Linked DNA regions of Mus musculus. The protein of the gene in region 6 interacts with the protein of the main gene of each other region in a biochemical or structural test. Links are inferred from orthologs where the notes say so. Each region holds a gene or a part of one and is shown on either strand. Other genes may lie near its edges.

Region 1 (3,025 bases), on a different chromosome or scaffold from region 6:
CAACAACAGGATTATGTATTTTTTCAATCATCCAGGACTAATAGAGCATGAGTACCAGATGGTTGGCTGCCTTTCCAGAGTTAGCATGGACTTACAGAGACAGCGTGTCAGCCCGTCAGACTCGCTTGCCTCACGTCTCTTTTATTTTAGGAGTGGCTTTTGAACAGGGGAAGATCCTTCCCACTCCAGAAACAGTTCCTTTTAGACTCAGCAGAGATATTGTGGACGGGATGGGCATCACCGGTGTGGAAGGTGTCTTCAGAAGGTAAGGGAGGGAAAGCATGCAGTGTTTGCTATCAGAACTATTCAGCTAGTAGATTTAAAGAGATGATGCACAGAGACCCTTGGCACGGGCCACCTTGGTGTTAATTCAGCATGACATCGTGTGGTCATACCTGACCTCCTCTGGAAGAGGCCCACTTTTATGCTGTTACTCAGTCTTAGCTGACTCACTCTGGTCTTTTGCTGTCTTATTGATGCTCATGGTTGGGGGTATTAAAAAGGTGGTGGTTATTTTGTCTGAAAAAAAACATGTTTCTATATCATGTTTGGCTGGGTATAACTTCCAGTCCTTGTAGTTCCCCCAGTAAAGGTCCACAATCTCAGCTCGGCAAAGTAAATTAATACTCGCCTCAGTAATCAAGACAATGAGTATTTCATAGGAGTACTGTCTTCCTTGTAAGTGCTGAGCTTAGGAGACACACACACACACACACACACACACACACACACACACACACACGTGCATCTGTATATATTTATATCAATTTCTGGAGCATCTCTTAAATGTCTTAGCGGTCCTGCTCTTTGAAATACAATATGGGGAATTGCTAGCAAGAATCCTCTAAGTATGTATTCCTAAGTGCATATAGGCAAAGAAGGGCTGAAATACCAGCGTCTACAGAATCCATACCTGTAATGTTTCCCCTCGCAGGTGCTGTGAAAAAACGATGGAAGTTATGCGGAGTTCTCAGGAAACCCTGCTGACCATTGTAGAGGTAAAGCGTGCACAGGGCATCTGCATTCCTTTGCCATCGGCCTGCTCATAGAGAGTCACTCATCTGAAGAGCATTGCTGTATTTCATGTAGAGTGGGTCTCGGGCAGCAGCAGAAAGGGGAACAGTGAGCACCTTCATACATCAGAGTCTGGGGTTGGAAATGGCTCTAGTCCCCTCATGTTTCTTGGAAATATCATACATTGTTAAGTAATCTCCAATCTTTACGAAATTAATGAGCACTTTGGCATCTTAGACATCCCACGTGGGCCTGAAGATGACTCAGCTGGCAAAGTGCTTGCCCCACCAGCATGAGGACCTGAGTTTGGATCCCCAGAACCCATGTCAAAACCTGGCCTAGTGGTGCATGCTTATAGTCCCAGCACTGGGGACGCAGAGCTGGGGCAACCTCTGGGACTCTTGGCCAGCAAGGCTAGCCAAATCAGTGAGTTTCCATTCAATGATAGACACTGTCTCAAAAAATAAAGAAGAAAGGTGGTTGAAGAAAGCACCTGGCATTAACCTCTGGTTTACACACGCACGCACGTGTGCACGCGATTATGTGCGTACACATATAGATATGTCTGTATGCCTCTTGGATAGTTTGAGATTGGTTTCCGTGAAGAAAAATCAGTAATAAGTATCACTTTCCCTACAAATCTCAGAGCTAGTTTAGATAGAAATCAGAGTATCAGTCTTGTTAGTGGCAAGCGTAACTGAAGAGGGAGATTTGCTGCTGAGGCTCCTGCCGGGCCTAGTTGCTTTGGGACAACTCACCTGAATGGAGCTGTGGCTGTGTACAGGTTTAAATCCAGTTCGTCATTTCAGCTTGACCCAAGACAGAGAGGGAAGAAAGTCTGCAACGCTTGCAACATTAATTCTTCCCAAGAATTAATGAATTGTGTGGTGCTGGCAGTCATCTGCAACCTGGTAAGGGTGTGTGAAATAAGAGCTCAGCTGTTTCCTGCACAGGGAAATACATGCAGGAAGTAGAGTGCAGGCCTGACTGGCTGCGCACAGTGTCGTCTGCACTGTTTCTAAAGAGTAGGTGTTAACTGTGTTCAGACCAGATTCCTAGGGATGCAGCAGGACCCTGTGTTTTGTAGATGACTCTTCCTGTGCAGGCACGGTTAAGAGCCATTCATATCTCACTGGCACTATTAAGTCCGTGATAACAAGAGCCGAGCTGTGTCTTTTAGATGACTCAATAAACAGTCTGCCGCAGTGGTCTGAGTGAGGGGACTGCAACTGAGAAATTATTTCTGTCTCCACCTACGATGCCTGTATCACTTTAGAACCATCCCCACCCCCACCCCACCGACCAGCCACACACACACAGAATTCTGTATTGCCTTCGGTAAATCAGTCCAAATTTCTGACAGCCAGTTGTTTTTCCTTCAAACAGTTACCTGTTCACTGTTGGTTGTGACTAGTATTACTTCATGATGTGGTTACTATTGTTTTTAACTACATAATTAAAAGGCACGCTGTTTTGTTTTTTCTATTTAGGTTCTTTTGTACGATCCACTCTTTGATTGGACTATGAATCCTTTAAAAGCTCTGTATCTACAGCAGAGACCAGAAGATGAGTCCGACCTCCATTCCACCCCCAATGCAGATGATCAAGAATGCAAACAAAGTCTTAGGTGGGATATTTCAGGAAGGACCTGTTGTTACTTAGATTTTCTTGTTCCCAGGCCCTCCATGGTTGCACCTCATTGTAATCTTTGTGTTCTTTTATCATTAGTGATACTGACCAGAGTTTCAACAAAGTAGCTGAGCGTGTCTTGATGAGACTGCAAGAGAAACTGAAAGGCGTGGAGGAAGGCACTGTGCTCAGTGTGGGTGGACAGGTGAACTTGCTTATCCAGCAGGCCATGGATCCCAAAAATCTCAGCCGACTCTTCCCAGGATGGAAAGCTTGGGTGTGACCTTCACCCTTAAACTCGAACTTCAGAAATGACATCTCACCCACCATATTTGGACAGGAATTACTTAAGTGAATAACTGCTTTTGATCCAATTTTCTAC
Region 2 (2,478 bases), on a different chromosome or scaffold from region 6:
GCAAGCACTTCAACGCCTTCTCCCACGGAACTTCTCACCAGCTCTAGATTGTTTTTGTTTGCTGTAGTGGTCTTTTAGTATGAAATGCTTTAACACATTTGTGCAGGGGTCATGCTAATTATCTCTGTATCATTTCAGTTTTACATAAATATACTGTCAGAGCAAGATGGTTTTATTAAGTCCGTGCTGGTCTCAAACTGAAGGTCCTCTTAGCCTCCTGTGTGTTGTCTGTGGGGATTATAAGCACCACACCTGGCTACTTCCCACTTTCCTCCCAAGACAGGGTTGCTCTGTGTAAGCCATTGGCTGTCCTGGAACTCGCTCTGTCCATGAGGCTGACTCAGAGATCTGCCTGCCTCTGCCTCCCAAAGACTGGGATTGAAGGTATGTGCCACCAGTCCGCACTTCTTACCCTTTTATTCAGCTTAACATGCACGTTCTTAGAGTTGGATGCTCATACATGTCCATTTATTAGTAACGCTGGAGGGAGTGGCTGCTCTGTGTTCAGAGGCTGCTTCCTGAGTTTTTGCCAGCGACAGGTATCCTGGGTGGTTGGTGGCATCTCGTGTCTTTGTACTACTTGATTTTTGTATAGACAGTGTTTGTGATTTAATGTAAACTGTCTTCCTTGTTTGTAGTGATGCTAATTTTGTTTTCTTTCCCTCTTCCCTTACAGGTTGGTGACATTGTGAAAGTCACAAGGATGAATATCAATGGCCAATGGGAAGGCGAGGTGAATGGGCGCAAGGGGCTTTTCCCCTTCACACATGTTAAAATCTTTGACCCTCAGAACCCCGATGACAACGAGTGATTGCTGTGCTGTCCCTGCTGCTGCCTCCTTCTGCCTGTCAGTCTCCTTTGAAGTGGGAAGCACTCTGTCACATGCAAGTTACACCGAGCTGCTGGCGGTCAGCTTTCCATACATTGGCAGTCCCTGCACATACGGAATGCCTCAGCAGCTGCCTTGCTCGCTGGCTCGGCATTTGTATCATAGTCATGCTGTCAAAGAGTAGCTGATTTAGAGTTCTTGTGGATTGTGAACTGGAAACACTGGTGGAAGCACACAGTAGAGACTGGAACCCAGAGCAGCTCTTCCTTCCCATCCATCACTGCCTTGTTTGTACTGGAGGCTGACAGAGAGAGCAAGCAAGCCTGCTGATGGTCTGCATGGAGACGGTGAGGCTTGGCAAGGTCTCGCTTTGCTGGTCCACAGAACAGTGGTTTTGCCACCAACTCAGTTTTCTTTGGACGACAGAGGAAGTAAAACTCCAGACAATTCTGTCCCGAACTCCTCAAGTCTGGCTGGTTTTCATTTTCTTTTGTTTAGTTTTGTTTTTTGGAAGACTAATTAATTATAGTTGTGTGTTCTGAACAGATTTTTAAATAGTAGGTTGGTCTATGATGGTCTAAGGAACAATCCATGTCTCTGAGCTTCCAAACTGAAGCCACTGTACGTAACTAAAATAGGAAAAGACCCCCTCCAGGGGCCTTTATCTTTTGGTTGCCACAGTACCTTGTTTACCATGTGGCAAACAGTGCACAGCAGCAGTCATGGTGTACCTTGCTGTGAAGCACCAAGGTGGGGGTGGGCCTGCTGTCATCGCTGCCTCTGACAGGAGCAGACAGGGTGGGCCTCTTCAGTGAAAACGTTTGAAGTCTGTGGGCTTACTAGATCCGTGAGTTAAATTGCATTGCTGTGTTCCACCACAGAGGCCACCCAGCCCTTCCTGTACTGACCTAGCTTGTCCAGGCAGCTTGAGAGTGGTGTCTGTTCTGGTTCCACAGCCTGAGTAGAACCAGAATACAGTGCTTCTGAGCAAAAGAAGACGCCCCTCGATCATGAGCCATTTTTCCTTGCATGTCAGCTACTACAGATATGTGTCTGATCCCTCATCCACACATGGCAAACCAGAGCTCTAGAACCTTTCTAGAGTGCACTCTTTTCAGTTGGACCCTGATGAGGATACACCTCCACACAGAACGAACGTAGCAGACCTAGAGATGGAGTAGTGGCTAGTGAGCAGCTCTAGCATTTACAGAATATCTTCTGTAACCATGGCCCTGGTTCTGCAGGCCTGAGGCTTTGAGAACTAATGGAACATATTCAGGTGACAAAACCAACAAAACCCTTTGTCCACTATATTTATTTCTCTTAAAGACTTTAAATTTTTGTTTATGTTGGGCATGGTGGACACACCTTTAATCCCAGTACTCAGAAAGGCAAAGGCAAGTGGATCTCTGAGAGTTCAAGGCTATCCTGATCTATGTAGTGTGTCACAGGACAGGCAGGCCTACATACATACCTTGTATCAGAAGATGGCCCAATCCCCCCCTCAGACCTCCCCCCAAAAAAAACTGTATATGGGTGTTTCCACTACATGTATGTATGTGTATCACATGGGTAGTTTGTTAGGAGGCCAGAAAAGGGTGTTGGTTGGATCCTCTGGAACTGTGGAGTTACTCTGTGGGTTCTAGGAA
Region 3 (4,267 bases), on a different chromosome or scaffold from region 6:
GTTCTTCCAAAGAACCAGGGTTAGACCCACATGGCAGCCCACAATAATTTGTAACTCCAGTTACGAGGAATTCAACGACTTCTTCTGGCCTCTACAGATACCTAAATGGGTTTGCAGAGAAAGCCTGTTGACTTGAGTTCCATCTCACAACCCCGGTAAAAGTGGAAAGCGATAATCGACTCCCCCAAAGTTGTCTTCCAGCTTCCATACGCATATCATAGCGCGAACGATCATACACACAGGAATGATAACAAATTTTTTTAAAAATTGTAGCAGGAGAGCCGGATATGGTGGCGCACATCTGTACTTGGGAGGTGGAAGCCAACAGTCTCAGCCATATAATATATTCGAGGCCAGCCTGAGCTATATGAACTATATGAGACCTTGTCTCAAAACCAAAAAATAAACAAAAGAGAAGAAAGGAGTGTAGCTGATAGCCTTAGCCTAGGGGGAGGGGACCATAAATTCTCAGGGCAAAATCTTGGAATGCCAATGTAAGGGATGCGAAATGTAAGGAGTTGGGCACCAGGGGGCGCCAGTCGGACCCGTCCGGGACGAAGCAACCCAGGGTCCCGGGGGTCATGTGCGGTGACTTCCCCGCGCCCCTCTTCGCTGTCGCCTCCGGGGTGAGCGTTGCTGTGCCCTTTGGGGTCCGCGGAGGAGAGGCGGGAACCGCGGCCGTCCGGACGGCGCGGTCGGTCCCTCAGAGACAGCTGTTCTCTCGGGAGGCCGTGGGGGGCAGCAGAGGGGACGGCGACAGGTGCGGGAGCCCCTCCCCGGGCAGAAGTGGGAAGGCGGACTCCGGGGTCTGTTCCCAGGCTGGAAACCGCCCCCGCCCCCCAGGCAAATCCCCCCGAGAGGCCGAGCCGGCGCCGGGTCTGCAGGAGGAAGCGGCCGGAGACAGTGCGATTTCACGCAGCCTCCGGGGCTCGGGTTCCCGAGCTGGGTACATGAGTTACGGGGCTTTGCGTCCCGGGGAAACTGAGGTGGCATGAACGCTAGGCTGAAAAACAACCTCCCACTCGAAAAAATAGAAATACTCACACTCCGAAAGAAAAAAAAAATCCCTCAAGTGATCCAACCGGCTAGGGGAGTTGAGTGATTTGGTTAATGGGCGAGGCCAGCTTTCTGGGGGCTGGGCTTCGGAGCGCTCTCCCTACGCGCATTCACTACCTTTCCCCCGCCTGGGGACGTTTGGAATCTTGATCTCCTCTTAACCATCTCCGGGGGAAATTGCTGGAGTGAGACCCCTCCTTGACCCTCTTGGCCAAGCTGTGGGCTGGCGGGGCACGCTTGGGCGGGTGTCTCGGGCTACAACCATCAGGACTCCAGCCTCGCACGGGAGGGGGCGCGGCCGTGACTCACCCCTTTCCCCCTTCACTCCCTCCCTCCCTCCCTTCCTCCCTCCCTCCCAGACAGACACCCTCCCCTGCCGTCCCGCTCCGGACTCCGACTACGGCTCCGGTTGCAGTTTGCAACCTCCGCTGCCGCCGCGGCCACCTAATCGCTGGCTGTTCAGGTGGCTGTCGCCTGGATGTCCTCCTAATCTTGGGGGCCCCGGGCCAGACTCGGCTGGGCTCCCTTCACCCTCCACTGTAATCATGAGTGCGATTGGGACTCTGCAGGTGCTGGGTTTCCTTCTCAGCCTGGCCCGGGGTTCCGAGATGGGCAACTCTCAGGCAGGTAAGCCGCGCGGGAGCCCCAGCAGGCTGGAAGCTGGGGGCGCAATCTGAGCGCTCGCAGACCCTGGGCAAGGAGTTTGGGTTCTGACGCTTTGAACTGGGGGGTGCGGTACAGGGTCTGCTCGGACCACCAAGGAGGGGACCGTGTGCCTCAGTTCTTGGAGTGGGCTGGTCAGGGACTGCATTCCTGTATGCCTACCCTTATTCCCAGGGCGTCGCCGACCCTCTAATTGGTTTTATTCTGATCTGGTTGGTGCCGAACAGTAGTTCACACTTGAGAGTCTTGGGAGGAGGGTGGGCAGGGACCCTTCTGTAAACGTAAGGAGCCTTGGCTTGAAAGGGTCTCCGTTTGCTCTCAGGTTCCCTGGCCCCCACCCCATTCCAGGTTTCAACAACCCCCAGTTTCGTTGTTTTGCCGACAGGGCGGGGCTATGCAAGGGTTTGAAGTTGTTGTTTTCTAATGTTGGAAAAACAAGAATGGCACCTCCTCTTCCGTGAGTGGGGCTGTCCTGAGAAGGCTGAGATTAACCTGAGGGCCAAGTCCAGGTGACATCAGTGAGAGGTCTCACAGAGGCTGACTGCCTGCTTTCCCATAAGATAAACCGGTCCCCAACTTAACCAACTTCTCTTTATCAAGACCCAGGTTAATTCAGTGAACATGTTGGGCATCTATTACATACTATACTATTTCCAGGTTATATACCCTAAGCTGGAGCTCTGGAAGAAAGGACAATCAGACCTCTTTCTCTCTCCAATCTAAGGCCACCTCTCCCACCTTCTGAACATTCTACTCTGTGAACTGGCTCCTAGACCCAACTTCTGCCCTTCCCCCATTCAATGCCATCTGAGCCTGTTCCGTGTCTCTGGGACTATGGACACTTGAAGAGCACTAGAATTGGTATCATTAGAGTCCTGTTGATCTTTCCCCTTTCCCAGATCCCCAGATCTCAGTTTGGGGTTGGCACATTCATTGCCCCTTCCCCAGAGTGGGAGTGGGAGAAACCACCTGTGCTTCCCCCACAGTTGCTGGGCCTAAATTTAGCCCCTGGGATCTTGAGATGTGAACACTCCCAGCTGGTGGAGGGGGTGGTCTGGAGACTGAAGTGGGAGGGGCCAGGGGAGTGACTGGATCACTGTCCCATCTGACTGTGCCCCCACCAACCAGGAACCCAAGAGTCCAAGATTCCCACCACCCTCCTCAAGAGGCAGGGAGCAGGCATGTTTAGTTCTCTATCCTTTATCTCCATCCTGAGCCTCTGGGCATCCGGCCCTGTCTCAAGCCTTGTATAGCCCCTTTGTCCCCTTGTGTGTGTGGCTGGGGCTTCTGAGGGCTGGAGGTTCTTGGTCTGCGCAGTCAATGCTCTCCACAGAGAAAGGTTCTGACTTTGAGCCTTTGCTCCTCTGTGAGTGTGGTCCACCCCACACCCACCCGCAGTTCTCGCTGCTTCCTGTGCGCCCCAAGTTGCCTGGTTCCTCCTGGGTAGTTGTTTATACTCCCGTCCTACCCAGGCCCTTTGCCCCTGTTTGTGAAATGTGGACTTTACCCTAAGGGTGGCAGGTAACCGAGACAGACCTGTAGGGCCTTGCAAAGCACAAGACACAAAGTGTGCAAGGCATTGTGGGCAGGTGGGATGGACTGGACACTTGTAAAACTTCCCAACTCGGGGCCCCAGGGGCAAACAATATATATTTCTGCACCAGAGTAACTGTGTACGTGTTTGTGTGCCAGCATGCACGCACAGGTACACATCATTTCCCTATGCAGATATCTTAGCTCCTCCCCTATCTGAGGAGAAGGGTTGGCACCTTAACTTGGAAGAGGGGTGTCCTGCCAGGAAGGGGACAGGGGTGGGGCACTTCCAGAAATGACTAACCTTCCCAGGCGTTTATTTCACCCCAAGGACCCTGGAGCTCCCAGATTTCTCTAGGAGAGTCTAGCTTGTTTATGCCTCCTTGCTGGAACTGGCCCACTCCTTCCATCATATGAAGAAAGGATAAGGAAGAGGATCTAGAAGAAGGGGTCAGACCAGACATAGATCTAACAGGAGAAGCTGAGGCCTCTGACTCGCTCTCTGCCTCCTGCCCCGCCTCAGGGAAGGGTGGTTAGAACAGGTGGTTGGTGGTGTACCCCTTACCCCCACCCTCCCCACGTGCTCTTACTGCGCCAGAGGAAAGATACTTAGAGCTCCAGGGAGGAAAGTGAAAGCCCAAGAACTGAAATGTACTGTACTGGCCTCTCTTTTGGGCTCTCTCCCCTGGAGTGTCTATTGGGGAGCACTGCCATGTTAGCAGTCTCTTTAAAGAATCCTTCTGGCAGTGAAATTGGGAAGAAGGCTTGGGAGTGGAGGCTCTGTTCTGCTTCTCTCCAGACCTCTCTGTTTGGTGAAAAGCACTTCGGGACTGCACAGGGATGCCTGCTGCCGGGGGAGCTGGAGCATGCTGGCTTAGGGGAAGGGAGTGAGAAGGGAAACCAGAGTTTAGGAGAGGGGAGGCCACCAGTTCCTTATCATCCAGCTTTAAAGACAAAGCTCCCATTGACCCCACCTCCCCACCCCACTACCAGGGTTTCTCCCTCCAGTGAGGTC
Region 4 (3,500 bases), on a different chromosome or scaffold from region 6:
AGCTAGGTTTCTGGTCTATATATGACATACACATATAACAGCTTGGTCAACAAAAGAAAGGGGTGGGGATTAAATCTGGACTGAACCTCGGTATGGGATAACTTTTAAAATTTAGGGGATAGCAGATAGTCTACTGTTTTTGTTTTTGTTTTTTTGGTTTCAATATGTAGCAGGATAAAATTGGGTGGTAGCATTTAAAAGTTCCTCCTGGGCTGATCTCAGTTCAGTTCTGAGCATGGTGGCTCATAACCATCTGTATTGGGGTCTGATGCTCAGAGTACTCACATAAATGAAATACATAAATCCTCTGTTTGTTTTTTTGAGACAGGGTTTCTCTGTATAGCTCAGGCTGTCCTGGAACTCACTCTGTAGACTAGGCTGCCCTTGCACTCAGAAATCAGCCTGTCTCTGCCTCCCAAGTACTGGAATTAAAGGCGTGTGCCACCACTGCTAGGCACATAAATCTTTTTTAAAAAAAAGTTTTCCAGATGGGTTGTGATGTAAACACACACCCAGACCTTTGGTGAGTAGATTTGAGACAAGAGCATTTTCTTGCCAACCATAAACTGGCCTCAGACTTCAGCAGGCTTTCTGAGAGTAGGTGTTTCATGACAAGCATGGCTGTGTTTGCTGATTTGTGAATATTTCCAGAGCATGGTACTTAAATCTTTAAAATATAAATTCTAGCCTGGAGGTGGTGGATTTCTCTTGAGTTCTAAACCAGTTGGGTCTACAAAGCATAGTGACAGGACAGCCATGGCTATCCAGAGAAATCCTGCCTTTGAAAACCAATGATAACAAGAAATGATAACAAATCCTAAAATTTGGGCTTTCCTTTGGGGGAAACTTTGAAGGTAGATGCAAATAGAAACTTTTCCTCTTTTAAGGCATTGAAATGTTTCAGTGTTCTTTCTTATTTTAGGATTTTGAAGAGTATCCAGAACACAGAACAAACTTTTTCTTATTACTTCAAGCTGTCAATTCTCACTGTTTCCCAGCATTCCTAGCTATTCCACCTGCACAGTTCAAGCTGGTTTTGGATTCTATTATTTGGGCTTTTAAACATACTATGAGGAATGTTGCAGATACAGGTAAATACATTTAAGTTATTTGATAAAGCAGAAATAGACACTTAAGTCTCAGTAACTGTTTAATTTTGGGGGGGAGGAGGCATGAGCATCTAGTTTTCAGGGATTTCTAAAATACTGAGTCAATTCAGCAGTGAAAATTGATTACTTTTAAATGGAGCCATTCTAGCATCTGGTAGGGACATGTTTCATCATCCTTCATAGAGCTCATGAGTTTTGTATATGCTCTTTGTCCATTAGCTCTTAGTATCTATCTTAAAAACCAGTGTGGTGTTAGAACTTTTTTTTGTTGTTCTTTTGGTTGGTTGGTTGTTTTTGTTTGTTTGTTTGTTTTTTGTTTTTTTGATTTCCTGTATAGCCCGGGCTGTCCTAGAACTCAGATTTGCCTCCCAAATGGTGGAATTAAATGTGTGTGTCACTACACCCAGTGTTGATTTGGCGATTTGTTTTTCATCAATTCTCTAGCCCCTATCTCATCTCTGCCTGTGCGTGGAGGTGTGTGTCATGGCTTGCATGTGCAAGACTAAGTATGCTTGCTTGCTGCTGTTCCTGGGAACCTGGGTTTGATTTCTTACTGGTTCCAATGTGTCTGTTATACTCTTCTGACCTCCACAGGCACAATGTACACAGTATGTGTGTGTGTGTGTGTGTGTGTGTGTGTGTGTGTGTGTGTACACAGACAGAGTATAAGCATCCATACACATAAACTTGAGGGCAGGATTTACTCTTTACTGACCTATGCTCCACTGTAAGAGAGACAACTTTCTTTTCTGGGCATTTTGGCTTGCTTTCTCTGGGACCCTGTAGGAATTCCCATGTGTAGGAATCCTGCTGTCTGGATACCCATGGGTAATTGCATGGCTCGTAGGCTGCCCCTATGAAAGGGTTATTCAACACCTTTAGGATCAGGACTGAAAGGTTGAGAACCAGTGTTTATGATTGTTTAGCTTTTATGAATGTCTTTACTCCATATTCTTGCCTGGAGCCTGTGGAAGCCAGAAGTGGGTGGTGGATGCCATTGAACCAAGGTTGTGGATATAGTTGTGAGCCATGAAGTACATTGGTGCTAGGAATCAATTCTTTGCAGCAGCAAAAAGCATTGTAAGCTGCTGAGCCACCTCTCCAGCTCCAATTTATTTTTTGACACAGGGTCTCATGTATTCCAGGCTAGTCTTCCAACTTAATGATCATTCTGTCTCTACTTTCTAAATTCTGGACATGTTGGCTTTGTACAACTGAGTTATATCTTAGACCTTTGTTATTGTGTGTTTAAGTATTTTGCCTGCATATCTGTCAGTGCACCACTCATAGGCCTGGTGCCCACAGAAAATGTGTGTGAGCCACCTTCCCTTCAGAAGAACGGCAGTGCCCTTAACCACTGATACAACTCTAGTGATACTCTGGCTTCTTGTTGGGGCATACAATTCTCTCACCTGTACTGTTACGTTTATCTTTATTTCTAGGTAATAAATGGTTTAAAATGTTTGTTTAAAATAGCCAAAACAAACACCAGATTTGGTTATTTATGCTCTTAATCCTAGTCCTGGAGAAGTTCAAGTGAAATAATGTTTCCCACTTAAGGCTAACCTAATTTACAGGGCAACACTCTGTCTGAGTAAATAAAACACGCATGTCTTTGCTTAGTTCTCATATCTGACTATGTGTTATGATGCTTGTGGCATATTTTGGAGTCTGTGAGCTCCATTGTTAATTTAAAGTTAATACACAGATTCAAGAAAAATGGGAGTGGTGTGGCTCACTAGGCATGGTGGCCCATGCCTTTAGTATGAGCACTGCAGGGCAGAGTTTGAGATTGAGGCCATCCTGGTCTTACACACTCAGTTCAGACACACACACTCAAACAAAACAAACAACACACCCACTCAAAAAAGAGAGTATGAAGAGAAAAGAAAACAAGATTTTTTTTGTTGTTTGGTTTTTTGTTTGTGGTTTTTTGTTTGTTTGTTTGTTTGTTTTCGAGACAGGGTTTCTCTGTATAGCCCTGGCTGTCCTGGAACTCACTCTGTAGACCAGGCTGGCCTCGAACTCAGAAATCTGCCTGCCTCTGCCTCCCAAGTGTTAGATGTATATATGTTTTTATGTACACCAATAGTTTGTAATGAATTTTTATTGTTAACTTTAGGCTTACAGATACTTTTTACACTTTTACAAAATGTTGCACAAGAGGAAGCTGCCGCACAGAGTTTTTATCAAACTTATTTTTGTGATATTCTTCAGCATATTTTCTCTGTTGTAACAGACACTTCACATACTGCAGGTAAGAGCTGAAAATCACTAAATCACTTAAGTGTTCTGTTTGTTTCCTTTTTATTTTTTAATAAGTCTCCTCTGTTCAACAGGTCTAACAATGCATGCATCAATTCTTGCATATATGTTTAATTTGGTTGAAGA
Region 5 (4,212 bases), on a different chromosome or scaffold from region 6:
GAGCAGCTGGTACCTCACGCAGGATTAACATTTCTCTGCAAAGGCAGGGGGTTGCCTAGTAGCTCTTCAGTGTTGCTGCTGGCCCCTGACCCTCTGCCACCACTGGCCTGGACTCCTCTGCTCTCCTTGGGATCTGCACAACTGTGGCCCTGAAGCCGACCTGGCCAAGCAAGACTGTGGTCTCCATCCCTGACCAGCCCACTCCCTCCCAAAGAATAACTTCTTCAGCGTCCCCCCACAGAGAGACCAGGCCTCATCCAGAGTCACAGCAGCAGTCCTCCTGACCTTGAACCCTGGCCCTCAGCCACTGAGCCAGGCCCAACTGTAGGAGGAACTCTCAAGCAGACATGTTGGGCCTTGTCCACCCTGACTGCCGCTGGAGAGGACGGCTTCCCAGGCTTTCTCAGGGCTATTCCTGGTGTCTGCCTCTCAGATTCCAAAGACTGGAATAAAATTTAACCTGGGACCTTGGTGTGGCTGATGTGTGGCTGCTGTATCTTAAAAGGGAATCAAGGCTTTGTGGGAGCACCTAAGACAGACTTTGCTGGGGTCCCTGTAGTTTGTGACTTAGAGAAAAGCCTGGGAGAGGAAGTTGGGACCAGAGCAGGAAGCGCCGCATGGCACAGGCAAGCCAGAGAAGCACATGGCCTTGTGTGGTGAAGGGACTTTTGGACATGCCTGGAGGCCAGGTCATGTCTGCACCTGCCCCAGACACTCGGCAGATTGGCAAGGCAGGCTAGCTAGCAGGGCCTGTGTGTGGGAGGCAGCTAGCAGCAGCACCAAGTGCTGTCGACCTCACAGCCACACTCCCCCTCTGGTTAACAGTGAGTGTCAGAACCACCCCCAGAACCTCAGTTAAGCAAAGAGCTTAGTTTCCATGGAGACACAGCATCCTTTCTCCATAGCAACCTGAAATCACAAAACCCAAGTTAGGTTCAGGAATGAGTCATCTGCAACCAGTAGGGGGTGCTCTCCCACAAGGCTGACCTTCCCCCCCCCCCGCCCCCCCTTTGCAAGGCTGGAGCCGATGAGCCAGTGACCACAGACTTCTTAAGGTGACCCAGGGGTGTGGCTTGGGTCTATGGGAACTTGGCTGATCCAGCCTAACCCCTCCCTCCCCCACTGCCTAGTGTGAGGAGGCTGCAGGAGGTGCTGTGTGGGGGTGGTCCTCCCTTAGCCGGGGCCTGATGATGACACTGGCATGGAGGGCTTCTCTGCCATTCAAGACTGTCTAAGAGTAGAAGAAGTGGACACTGGCTACATGGAGTGGACATACAAGAGTTAACTGGCGGGGTGTGACAGGGCGAACCGCCTTCAGGAAGTGTTACTCACCGCCAGGAATGTGCACGCCTGTGCCTTGGGGGTTGGATTGTCTTCCTGAGTCCCAGGAGAAGCCGAAGGAGCTCCCAGCCATGGAAGACCCTGGTGAGACCGGAGCACACCCTCTGGGAGCCACCAACCTGAACTTTGTACCTGGGCACCAACAGAAAGAAAAGTTAGTAAAGTTGGGGGGTCAGCCAGGTGCATCGGGTGAGGGCAGATCTAGGAGGAGCTGGCAAGGACAGGATAGATGGGAAGCCCAGAATGGGAAGACGTGTTCACCCCAGGTCTGGGTGTCTGCCCCCAGGCCATCTACAGACCCACTGTATGACACACCTGATACCAGAGGGGTACAGGCAGGCGGGTCCCAACAGCCAGCACGTACTGTGAGCCTTCGGGAGCGGCTGCTGATCACCCGGCCTGTGTGGTTACAGCTGCGGGCCAACGCTGCAGCCGCGCTGCACGTGCTGAGGACAGAGCCTCCGGGGGTGAGTCTCTCCCTTTCCTCAAGGCCTAGCCCGCCAAGGATGGGAGGGAACCAGCCTGGACATGGAGGACCAGAGCCTCCTAATCTCGTTCACTCACAGACCTTCCTGGTGCGGAAATCTAACACTCGCCAGTGCCAGGCTCTGTGTGTGCGGCTGCCAGAAGCTAGTGGCCCCTCTTTTGTCTCCAGCCACTATATCGAAGAGAGTACTGGCGGTGAGGAGGGTGGCCTGGAGGGCAGGGGCTGGAAGACAGGCAGGGGAGGGAGGTCCCCAGAGAACAGCCTCACTCCCAATGTCTCTCAGGTGTCTCTTTGGAGGGCTCAGAGCTCATGTTCCAGGACCTGGTGCAGCTCATCTGTGGATACTGCCGTACCAGGTGAGCCTGCCTGGGGGGCACCTGCTGAGCCCTGGGCCTGCTTCCCTGGACTGCCTGTCCTCTGCATCTGAACCCCGCTCACTCCTGACTGCTCCTTGCTCTGTCCTTAGGGACATTCTTCTCCTCCCTCTCCGACTCCCCAGAGCCATTCATCAGGCAGCCACCCACAAAGAGCTGGAGGCCATCTCCCATCTGGGCATGGGTAAGGGTACCCTGCAGCCTGTTACACAGATGGACACACAGAGGTCAAATGGGGGAAGGAAGAGCAATCAAGATTTTCCTTTGTGGGCACCCTGCAGAGCCAGCTCTGAGCACCCCCCCCCCCCATTGGTTTCTCATTGCTAGAGTTCTGGAGCTCCTCACTCAACACCAAGGACCAACAGAGGCCTTCGGAAGCCCCACCCATACCCCGGCTGAAGGCTCGCTCCCCTCAAGAGCTGGATCAGGGCACTGGTGCTGCCCTCTGCTTCTTCAACCCCCTCTTCCCCGGGGATCTGGGCCCCACCAAACGAGAGAAATTCAAGAGGAGTTTCAAAGTGCGAGTGTCCACCGAGACCTCCAGCCCTCTGTCTCCACCTGCTGTGCCGCCTCCCCCAGTCCCGGTGCTTCCAGGGACATCTTCCAGCCAAACGGAAAGACTGCCCCCTCGACAGCTGCTGCAGAGGGAGAGCTCAGTGGGATATCGTGTGCCAGGAAGTGCTGCCAGCCCTTGTCTTCCTCCCCTACCTTCCCTTCAGGAGGTGGACTGCTGCTCTCCCAGCAGCTCAGAGGAGGAGGGCTCTTCAGGAAGCCCTACAACCTCCCCACGCCTAAGCCGCCCAAGGCACCGGCGGCCTCTGCTTCGGTCCATGAGTTCTGCTTTCTGCTCTCTGCTGGCACCAGAGAGGCAGGTGGGCCGGGCAGCCACAATGCTAATGCAAAACCGATACACAGCCGTGGGTCAGCTAGTGCAGGACCTACTGACCCAGGTTCGGGCTGGTCCCGAGCCCCGGGAGTTGCAGGGCATCCGCCAGGCCCTAAGTCGGGCCCGGGCCATGCTGAGCGCAGAGCTGGGCCCTGAGAAGCTGCTACCACCAGAGCGGCTGGGTAAGGCCCGACCCCTGGCCTCCACAGGTTCATGTCCCTGGCTCTCCATCCTCCTTTGTCCTCCTCTCTCCTTGCCTTGGGTGCCTAGTGACTGCTGCGTTCCCTGTGCCCCACCCTCACTCCCTTTCTCACTTACTGTTGCACTGAATTCCCCGTCCCTATCCCCACCTTTCTCCCTACCTCCTGTCTTGGCCAGGGCCTCCTGCTCTTCCGGGCTTCTTTCCCCTGACTGCAACCACCTCTTCTCCGGCAGAATTGGTCCTGGAGAAGTCCCTGCATCGCTCTGTTCTCAAGCCTCTTCGACCCATTCTGGCTGCCCGCCTGCGGCGCCGGCTTTCCGCAGATGGTTCCCTCGGCCGCCTAGCTGAGGGCTTCCGCCTGGCCCGGACCCAGGGGCCTGGAGCCTTCGGGTCCCACCTGACTCTTTCTTCCCCAGTGGAGACAGAACAGGTGCGCCAGAAGCTGCTGCAGCTCCTTCGTGCCTACTCACCTAGTGCCCAGGTCAAGTGGCTCCTGCAGGCCTGCAAGCTGCTATACACAGCCCTGAAGAGCCAGGCAGGTAGGACCCCCACCACCTTCCCCTGTGCCACTCTTTCTGAGTAGAAACCACGCATCACCTCCCTCCACAGGGAGCCTGTCCCAGAACCCCAGAACTGCAAACAAGATAGAAGGAGCCCACTCTCCACCCCAGGAACTCTAGAGAATAGTGCCTTTCTGCCCTGTAACCTTCCCTGAGGTTGCTATGATGCTCCTGGTCTGTCGCCTAGTCACTTAGGGCTTTAGCAGGTGTAGGGGAGGGGCCACACTGTCTAGCATGGAGATTGGACCCTAGCCTTTGGACCTCTGAGGAGGCTGGAATCTCCTTCTTCCATGTCTCCACAGGAGAGAATGCAGGTGCTGATGAGTTCCTGCCTCTGCTGAGCCTTGTTTTGGCCCAGTGCG
Region 6 (4,219 bases):
TTACGGTCGGCATCATGGAATCATGGAGAGGTTGGCAGGATCAAGACAGCGCTAGTCAGCATGTGGGCTCTCACAGAAAATGGTCTCCCAGGATCAGGAAAGTATCCAGTTGGTACCCTTGCCTCCTGGGCACTCTGGTCCTTTTCTCCAGGAGATTGAATGGCGTGAGTTCTGAAAGTCCCCTGGGTACTTGTGAGGCCTGTTCTGGCAGCAAAGTAGGTCCACTTGGCTTCAGACACATTTTTGGCACAGACACATTTTTGGGTTGATTAGCACGAAAAGTGTGTGACATCCTGGCTGAGAGGCCTGTCACAGGCACAGTCATGGCACTGTTTTTTTTTTTTTTTTCTTTTGCTTTTCGAGACAGGGTTTCTCTGTATAGCCCTGGCTGTCCTGGAACTCACTCTGTAGACCAGGCTGGCCTCGAACTCAGAGATCCACCTGCCTCTGCCTTCTGAGTGCTGGGATTAAAGGCGTGGGCCACCACGCCCGGCAGGTGATAACTTTTGTCATGGATCTAGCTATCCGGTACAGTCTGCTTAGAAGCCAAGAGACCAAACTTTGGAACCAGGCAGACCCTGACTGAGTTGAGTCTTCTGGTTTCCACCATGTGACCTTCTGGAGTGTCTGTTCTCACATGAAGAATCTGGGTCATGATATAACTTTCCTCACAGGATTAGGTGCACGCACCCTCTGGGTACCAAGGCACATGGAGCACTTCTCAGAGAACCATCCTGGGACAGTCAGCTCTTCAAGTGCAAGGATGGGGACCAGACTTTTAGTTATGTGACATTATTTCATAAGTTTATTTTTCCCTTGTCATTGGAACTTGGGTGAGTTTTTATTAGATTTGTTGTAGTTGGGGTCCTTGTTTCCCACCAACTTAGTGCCAGTAGTCCACTGCTGTGACCATTGCTTAGTTAAAATCTTGTTGGTAACCTCGAGCTAGCGTTTAGGAAAACAAAAACTCACCGTGAAATGGATTCAAACATTACCTGTGGCACCAAAAACAGGGGAAATTCTTGTAAAAATGAGGTCAGGAAGGACCGCCATTCCAGCCCACAATGAACACGCACCATAGAGACATTTCCCTAAGCTTAAACTCACAACTCCAGGTCTAAATGGGTGGTTGGACCCGCGTCCGGTATTCGGTATTCCTGTGGGTTCCAGCCCTGACTGTTCACATTCCTCAGATACCCACTTTAGGTTTAATCACAGTCGCTCCCCGAGACCAGTCCTGGTAACTTGAGAGGAATTTGCATTTCCACCGACCTTCCCGGACACGCGGCAGGGGCAGGGGCTACGCCAGCGCAGCTACGCAGCTGGGGAGGGCGTGGAGCCTTCCCTTGGCCTGGAAGGGGTTAAGGGACGGCTGGGGCGGGGCGCTGGGCCCTTTGTTACCGGCCTAGGCGGGAGGCGGGAGGCGGGACGCGGGCCTGGGCGCGGGCCTGCTGGGAGCGCGGCCTGGCGGGGCTGGGGGCCCGGGGTGGTGGGGCCTTCGCCGTGGCCACGGGACCATGTTGGAGATCTGTTTGAAGTTGGTGGGCTGCAAATCCAAGAAGGGGCTCTCTTCGTCCTCCAGCTGCTACCTGGAAGGTAAATCCTGGCCTGGGCGCGGGGCCCACCAGGACTGTCCTGCCCGCCCGTGCCCTGTGTGTTCTAGGTCCCCAGTCTTCTCCCTCTGAGGCCTCTGCGGGTGCTGGTGGCTCATTCGGACTTCCAGAAAGAGAGAGAGAGCCGCGGCTTTGGCGCTGGCGGGGCCCAAGCGCATAGTGTGGCTCCTGCCCAGAAAGTTTGAAAAAGTCAGTGCCACAGGCCTTAAGGTCCTTGTGAGCCCACGTTGTGGTGTTTCCACTGCCAACTGGGAATTGTATGTCACAAAGGTGGACCTACACCAAGTGCCGCGTACAAAGGGATCCCGCTCTACCATTTATGGGTACAGAATTTCATGTGAACTTTCCACCCCCACCCCCACCTTTCTGCAGACCATGAAGAGGTCTTGGGGATTGTCTCTTTTTAGAAGAGAAAGAATGGTTTTGCTTGTATTTCCAGGAGTTTTGAGAGCTTCCAGTTTGATGCTTGGTGAGGGAGCCCCTCATGTTTTGTTCTTTGCATAAACTTAGAGCCAGGAGCCTGTTGCTTTTGCCTGCTTTACCCTGCTCCTCCAATTCCATGCCTCCTTCCTGTTGTCTTTAGTGTTTGGGTCTAAAAGGATGGCAAGGGAAAAGGGTGAGTGGTGAGTGCTGGGGACTCGGCTGTGGCCAGGCCTGTTAGAGTATAGCTGACCTTTGTGGGGACTGCTGCCTTCTTCAGAAGGGCAGAAGCACTCACAGATGTGTGGTGCCCTGGCTTTTCTGGCTGTTTCATGTAAGAGTTAAGATAGGAGTAAAAATGTAAAGTTTTCTTCAGAGCAATTTGGATTTCTACTGTTTTGAATTGTAAAGAATTGAAGGCTTTTCAATATCTAACCTGCTTCCCCGACCCCCCTTCCAAGTCTTTGACTCAAAGACCTACAGGGCCCCACATGACCCAGCTCAGACTTAGGTGCCCAGCTCGGGTAGAGGATGTTCTCCCTTTGCTAGAAGGGAGTATAAGGGACTTCGCTATAAGTCACAGTAAGATTTCAGCCCCTCCGGGGATTTCAGGGCCTGGATTCCTGAGAGGAGCTTGGTGTGGATGGCATGAGCTCAGGGCCTACCACTTAGAGGGAGGGAGATGGTTTATTTGTCCCCAGAGTTGGCATCTGAGCGGCCAGAATCATCCTCAGTTAATGCGTTGCTTATTTTTTCCAAGTTGCTCCACACTCTCCGCACATTTCTCCTCCCCATCTGTATCCAGTTAGTGAGAGGCACTATCTCCATTTTGAGCCGCTGGAGGCGGAGATGAATGGACTTTTGTAACTGCAGAGTTGGGGCATGTCACAGCTTTGCTAAGGTATCAGCTTGTTCCTGGGGTAATGTGGGATTTAGTGCAGAGCTGTTGGTTTAATTCTTGTTTTAGAAGGGGGAAAAAATCCATTCTTATTCCAGCATAATCCTTAAGGTGAATTCTAGCATTGCCAAGTTCCAAAGGAGTGCTGTCCTCACTTGGGTTTTGTAGGCCTTCTCCAGGAAGGTGTCTCTCTAGGAGCTCTTTCTGTTCACTGAGTTCAAAAAGGTAGACGGAATTCTTGTTGTGTAGCTGACGGAATCAAGCTAGCCTCGGTGTAATTATGTCTTGAAGACGGAAGTGCTGTCTGTCTCTGGGGAAGAGAGCTGTTGCCAGAATCTGGGGAAGTAATCTGGGCCTTCATTTCTTGCTTACATCCTAAATCAATCAATCAGTTCATGACACCCACCCAGAGGCCTGGGCCTCACAGGCCAGGAAGAGAATTGAGTATGGTGAATTTTCCATTATTACCAAATGCATGCTCCCTGCTGCTGTGCAGAGAAGGCCTGGTCAGCACAGACAGCAGCAGCAGTTAGATGGCCTTAGTGGGCCAAGCATTGTCTGCATTCCACATGCCCTCACTTTCTGACTTCTTATGGTGGCCCTGATTATCTCATCTTGTAGATAAGAAACTGAGGCACCAAAAAAGGTTAGGTGACATCTCTGAGATGACAGAATCAGCAGGTGGTAGTCCCAGGATTTGAACTTGTGCTATCTGGCTCCAGGGAATTGCACAGAGAGAGAGAAAGGGGGAGAGGGGGTGGAGAGAGAGAGAGAGAGGGAGGGAGGGAGAGAGAGAGAGAGAGAGAGAGAGAGAGAGAGAGAGAGAGAGAGAGAATGAATGTTGGGTATTGGAAGCCAGGGCCTTGAACTACACCCATAGGCCCTTGCCAACTTTTGAATTTTGAGACGGACTTGCCAAGTTGTCCAGTCAGGCTGTGAACTCAATAATCTGTAAACGTAAAGAGACAGGCTTTGCACTTGGCATTTTCTTGCCTCAGCCTGCTGAGCACCTAGGATTTCAGGCTTGCACCCCAGCACCTGGCCCAGAAAGCCCATTCTTAGCCTGTCTGTGCTAATAATGGATCATTGGTCTGCCGTGGCATTGTTCTCCCGTGGAAAACACTATGGATCATTCAATACTGTCTTTAGAAATGCCCAGCTAGGGCCTAAACTGTACCAGTCTTTTCCTTTCTGCATCAGGTAATAGTAATACACCTGCTTTCATAAAGCAACAGGACCAGGAACATTTTTTAAGCAAACATAAAAATACTTGTAAGAAAATTCTGAA
Region 7 (3,500 bases), on a different chromosome or scaffold from region 6:
ACAAGGCTTTACCATAACAACAGCCACCTGCAACCATCTGAACCGATCACCTCTGCCTTTGATGAAGACGTTTCCTACCAAGAGACTAATTTAAAAATTAATCCATGTCAGGCTTTTCCTGAAATTACATTTATTTGGCATTAAACACATGCATACAGTAAAGGCATGGTATTCTGGATTTTAGTGTATGTGAAACAATTTTCATCAGTAAACATTGGCATTGCCGTTAGGTACAAATGGGAGGACTTGCTTTAAATTCTGGCATCTATTATAAATCTTTCTTGCTATGCATTAAAATCACCAAGACAATGGTGAAAGAATTCTTACTGTGACTTGTCTCCGGAAGGTTTAGCATTGGAATCCTGGCAGTGAGTGAAAGACCAGAAAGGAGCTTCTTTAAGTTTCAACTGTTTGCTTTGTAAAAGTGCATCGTGATACGTGTTCATTCAAATTGTGACAGTAATTTGCTTATGTGAGAATTGTATTTCCAACTAGGCGTCACTATATGGGAACTGATGACCTTTGGAGGAAAGCCCTATGATGGAATTCCAACCCGAGAAATCCCCGATTTACTGGAGAAAGGAGAGCGTCTGCCTCAGCCTCCCATCTGCACTATTGATGTTTACATGGTCATGGTCAAATGTAAGGCTGCAAAATCACTCTTTCTGCCTGCATTATCATTCTTAATAAATAAAAGTTTAGATTGTTTTACCTGCAAAATGTTTCTCTGAATTGTTAAATAGAGTAGCAAGAATATTTACGAATGCAGAATATAAATACATGTTGTGGTAATTACTATTATGAGGTAATAGTATGCCACTAAGTTACAAAGTAAAAATTATGTCGTTCTTACTCTTACAATTTTTCAAATTTCCATACCCTTTGAAGTTTGTCATAAAGAGAGATAATTATTCATAAGAATGTTAGTAATAATATTAATGTTAATCTTTATGGGAAAATAGCTAAACATCATTGAGAGTCTGAAAATGAATTAAAGTAGATATGGGTTTAATTAAACATAAGTTAACAGAGCAGGTTGGGAGTCAAAAGAGACGAATCCACAACGAAGTAAAGATTAAGATGTTTACTCTTTTTAATTTGGTCATTTGCTTACATCAAATGTTCTTACTTTTCTTTCCACTTCTATACTCCAGGCACATATGTATTATAAATGTGTTTTGAAAGCCTAGACCCCTAATTTTAATAGAATTAAAAAAGTCTCTGGGGTTTCTGACTTAATTTAAGTGCGATTAACTGGCAGCCATCTCTCTTGTATAATCTGAGGTTTTCCAGTTTTGATTTACACAGGGTTAAAGGAAGCCACTAAGTGGTGAAGGTGAATAAGCATTTTATTAATAAGAGACTCTGAGACTCTGGGCCCAGGTCTTCTCATATTTATATTCATGACATGTGTGATCTATTCTGACAGGAAGAGAAGGAATAAAAAATGTTCCTTGCAGTGCAGGTCAGCATGCCCTTTTCTCTAAGCATAGTTCTATTTACTCAATATTTAGTTAGGGAGAAACAAATATCTCACGCTGAAGTTAACCTTTTTTGGCTCTAGTAGCTTTGTCATTAGCATCTTGGTATTAACAAGCATTTTTTTTTTTTTGGAAACGAATACCCATAAGGTGCAGAGTGCTTGAGCTTAAGAGAGGTGACACAAAGGATGCATAAGATGATACCCAAAGGATTTCCAAAACAAGAATTAAAAATTAACTCTCCAGGAATAGAAGAATTCTGTATTAGATCAGTCCTTGTTTACTCCATGACCTGGGAGAGAGCTTAAAAACATCCCTATGTTATATGATAATTTGATCCTATAACCAGCATCAGATGTTATCTGAATACCCCAATGTGATGACGGAAAGGCAGGCAAACATTTTGCCTTATTAGACAAAGCATATACAATGTTTCACCTTTGTTTTTCTCTCTTCCCCTGGAGAGTTTATGCTTTAGAAAAGGATCATTTGGCAAGGAAATCAAAGCAAGCTGGGCGCTGTTATTCTTGTCATCTCATCAGCTAAACAGAGCATAGGCAGTTAAGATCCATTTTCTCTGAACTCCCAGCTAAAGAAGACTACCTACCTTGAAAACTAGTATTTTTATTCTGGGAAAGCTAATTCTAAGATAAATGTAATGAGGATTGTTGAACACACATTATAAATCATGTTCCATTTTCCTTCCAAACAGGAACAAACCTGCCAAAAGGAGTTGCTATCAAATTCCCCATTTTCAATCTTTTGTACTACAGTGCTATGATGAGAAGCAAATATTTCCTACCATGTACTCTTGATCTGAAACTTCATTTTCTATCTCTGCAGCCATCAAAGAATGCTTTAAGGACATTATCTTAACACTCCAAAACAAGAACAACAAAATCTGAGGTTCTAAAATTTCCCATGGTTAGCTTAAAAGCTATTTTCCAAGCTAAAAAAAAATTGAGTTTGACTCAGAATGAAAATTGGGGATCATGTAAAGATGGGTCAGCAGTTAGGAGCTTTTGTTGCTCTTGCAGAAAACACAAATTTAGCTTTCAATGCCTACGTCAGGCGATTCACAATCACCTGCAACTCCAACTTCAGGGGATCCAATGCCCTTTTCTGGCTTCTGTGTACCTGCCCTCATATGCCCATACCCACACATAGAAACAATTAAAAATAATTGAATTTAAAAAATGTTATTTATAGTATATTGCATTTTGTGACAAATGTCAATTAATTGAGTTACAGCATAGTTCACTTCTTTCTCTAGTTTTGTTTTGCATATATATATATACATATATATATATCCCCATATTTCCCCAAACTTCAACTTTACTAATTATTACATACACTAATATTTTACTGTGTATTAATCTCCAGGTTGGATGATCGATGCTGACAGCAGACCTAAATTCAAAGAACTGGCTGCTGAGTTTTCAAGAATGGCTAGAGACCCTCAAAGATACCTAGTTATTCAGGTTAGTTATTTTGATGTTGCTTTTAAGAGTCTCTAATAACAAACTCTATTTAAACTTTGCAACTTTGAAAACATCCAGCAATAAAGTGACCATGTGAAAGAACTTGTGAAGTCATGAAACTGAATATGGTTCTATATATGTCTATGAGACAAAGCAGGCTCAGAAAAGCAAATGCTATATGTTCTCTCTCATATGCATAACCCACATGCATACATATACACATATACATGGTATAGGCCACAAAACTAGGAAGAGATGATTAGAAAGGAAAAAGGTTTCAAGGGAAAGGTAAACTACAAAAGAGGCTAATAGAATACATATGACAGAGAAATGGAAAGACTATTTCAGAAGGAAAGGGCTAAACAGCCAGAGGAGAGGAGTACCAGAAGATGATAAACCAAAATAATGTATGTATGTCCTTTCTATCATAACACTATAACAAAATCTGTACGTTCATATGTTAATTTAAAAAGTACATGTGGATTGTTTTATCAGGCGAGGTGCATAGTATCTAAGCAATAACTCAATTTAAACGAAT

The links.
Region 1: of the proteins of Abl1 (region 6) and Atm, one has a biochemical effect on the other in vitro, tested with the Homo sapiens proteins (3 studies listed by BioGRID and IntAct, with this or other methods). The link is inferred for Mus musculus from reciprocal best matches to the Homo sapiens genes ABL1 and ATM.
Region 2: the proteins of Abl1 (region 6) and Crkl form a complex in vitro, tested with the Homo sapiens proteins (4 studies listed by BioGRID and IntAct, with this or other methods). The link is inferred for Mus musculus from reciprocal best matches to the Homo sapiens genes ABL1 and CRKL.
Region 3: the proteins of Abl1 (region 6) and Erbb3 form a complex in vitro, tested with the Homo sapiens proteins (2 studies listed by BioGRID and IntAct, with this or other methods). The link is inferred for Mus musculus from reciprocal best matches to the Homo sapiens genes ABL1 and ERBB3.
Region 4: the proteins of Abl1 (region 6) and Xpo1 interact in a test that uses a peptide from one of them, tested with the Homo sapiens proteins (2 studies listed by BioGRID). The link is inferred for Mus musculus from reciprocal best matches to the Homo sapiens genes ABL1 and XPO1.
Region 5: of the proteins of Abl1 (region 6) and Rin1, one has a biochemical effect on the other in vitro, tested with the Homo sapiens proteins (2 studies listed by BioGRID and IntAct, with this or other methods). The link is inferred for Mus musculus from reciprocal best matches to the Homo sapiens genes ABL1 and RIN1.
Region 7: the proteins of Abl1 (region 6) and Erbb4 form a complex in vitro, tested with the Homo sapiens proteins (2 studies listed by BioGRID and IntAct, with this or other methods). The link is inferred for Mus musculus from reciprocal best matches to the Homo sapiens genes ABL1 and ERBB4.

What each region holds. Positions count from the first base shown.
Region 1 is NC_000075.6:53,439,647-53,442,671, reverse strand, and holds part of Atm (serine-protein kinase ATM), read left to right. Parts: intron 1-150; coding exon 151-265; intron 266-934; coding exon 935-998; intron 999-2,504; coding exon 2,505-2,641; intron 2,642-2,742; coding exon 2,743-2,926; 3' UTR 2,927-3,025.
Region 2 is NC_000082.6:17,482,985-17,485,462, forward strand, and holds part of Crkl (crk-like protein), read left to right. Parts: intron 1-676; coding exon 677-811; 3' UTR 812-2,478. UniProt on the Homo sapiens protein: May mediate the transduction of intracellular signals.
Region 3 is NC_000076.6:128,586,836-128,591,102, reverse strand, and holds the start of Erbb3 (receptor tyrosine-protein kinase erbB-3 precursor), read left to right. Parts: upstream 1-1,467; 5' UTR 1,468-1,601; coding exon 1,602-1,683; intron 1,684-4,267. UniProt on the Homo sapiens protein: Tyrosine-protein kinase that plays an essential role as cell surface receptor for neuregulins.
Region 4 is NC_000077.6:23,290,541-23,294,040, forward strand, and holds part of Xpo1 (exportin-1), read left to right. Parts: intron 1-922; coding exon 923-1,091; intron 1,092-3,231; coding exon 3,232-3,366; intron 3,367-3,448; coding exon 3,449-3,500. UniProt on the Homo sapiens protein: Mediates the nuclear export of cellular proteins (cargos) bearing a leucine-rich nuclear export signal (NES) and of RNAs.
Region 5 is NC_000085.6:5,049,447-5,053,658, forward strand, and holds the start of Rin1 (ras and Rab interactor 1), read left to right. Parts: upstream 1-1,412; coding exon 1,413-1,495; intron 1,496-1,627; coding exon 1,628-1,808; intron 1,809-1,907; coding exon 1,908-2,022; intron 2,023-2,111; coding exon 2,112-2,184; intron 2,185-2,294; coding exon 2,295-2,386; intron 2,387-2,529; coding exon 2,530-3,270; intron 3,271-3,523; coding exon 3,524-3,829; intron 3,830-4,152; coding exon 4,153-4,212. UniProt on the Homo sapiens protein: Ras effector protein, which may serve as an inhibitory modulator of neuronal plasticity in aversive memory formation. Can affect Ras signaling at different levels. First, by competing with RAF1 protein for binding to activated Ras.
Region 6 is NC_000068.7:31,758,520-31,762,738, forward strand, and holds the start of Abl1 (tyrosine-protein kinase ABL1), read left to right. Parts: upstream 1-1,419; 5' UTR 1,420-1,517; coding exon 1,518-1,596; intron 1,597-1,653; exon of another isoform or gene 1,654-1,872; coding exon of another isoform or gene 1,873-1,936; intron 1,937-4,219. UniProt on the Homo sapiens protein: Non-receptor tyrosine-protein kinase that plays a role in many key processes linked to cell growth and survival such as cytoskeleton remodeling in response to extracellular stimuli, cell motility and adhesion, receptor endocytosis, autophagy, DNA damage response and apoptosis.
Region 7 is NC_000067.6:68,072,560-68,076,059, reverse strand, and holds part of Erbb4 (receptor tyrosine-protein kinase erbB-4 precursor), read left to right. Parts: intron 1-495; coding exon 496-642; intron 643-2,864; coding exon 2,865-2,962; intron 2,963-3,500. UniProt on the Homo sapiens protein: Tyrosine-protein kinase that plays an essential role as cell surface receptor for neuregulins and EGF family members and regulates development of the heart, the central nervous system and the mammary gland, gene transcription, cell proliferation, differentiation, migration and apoptosis.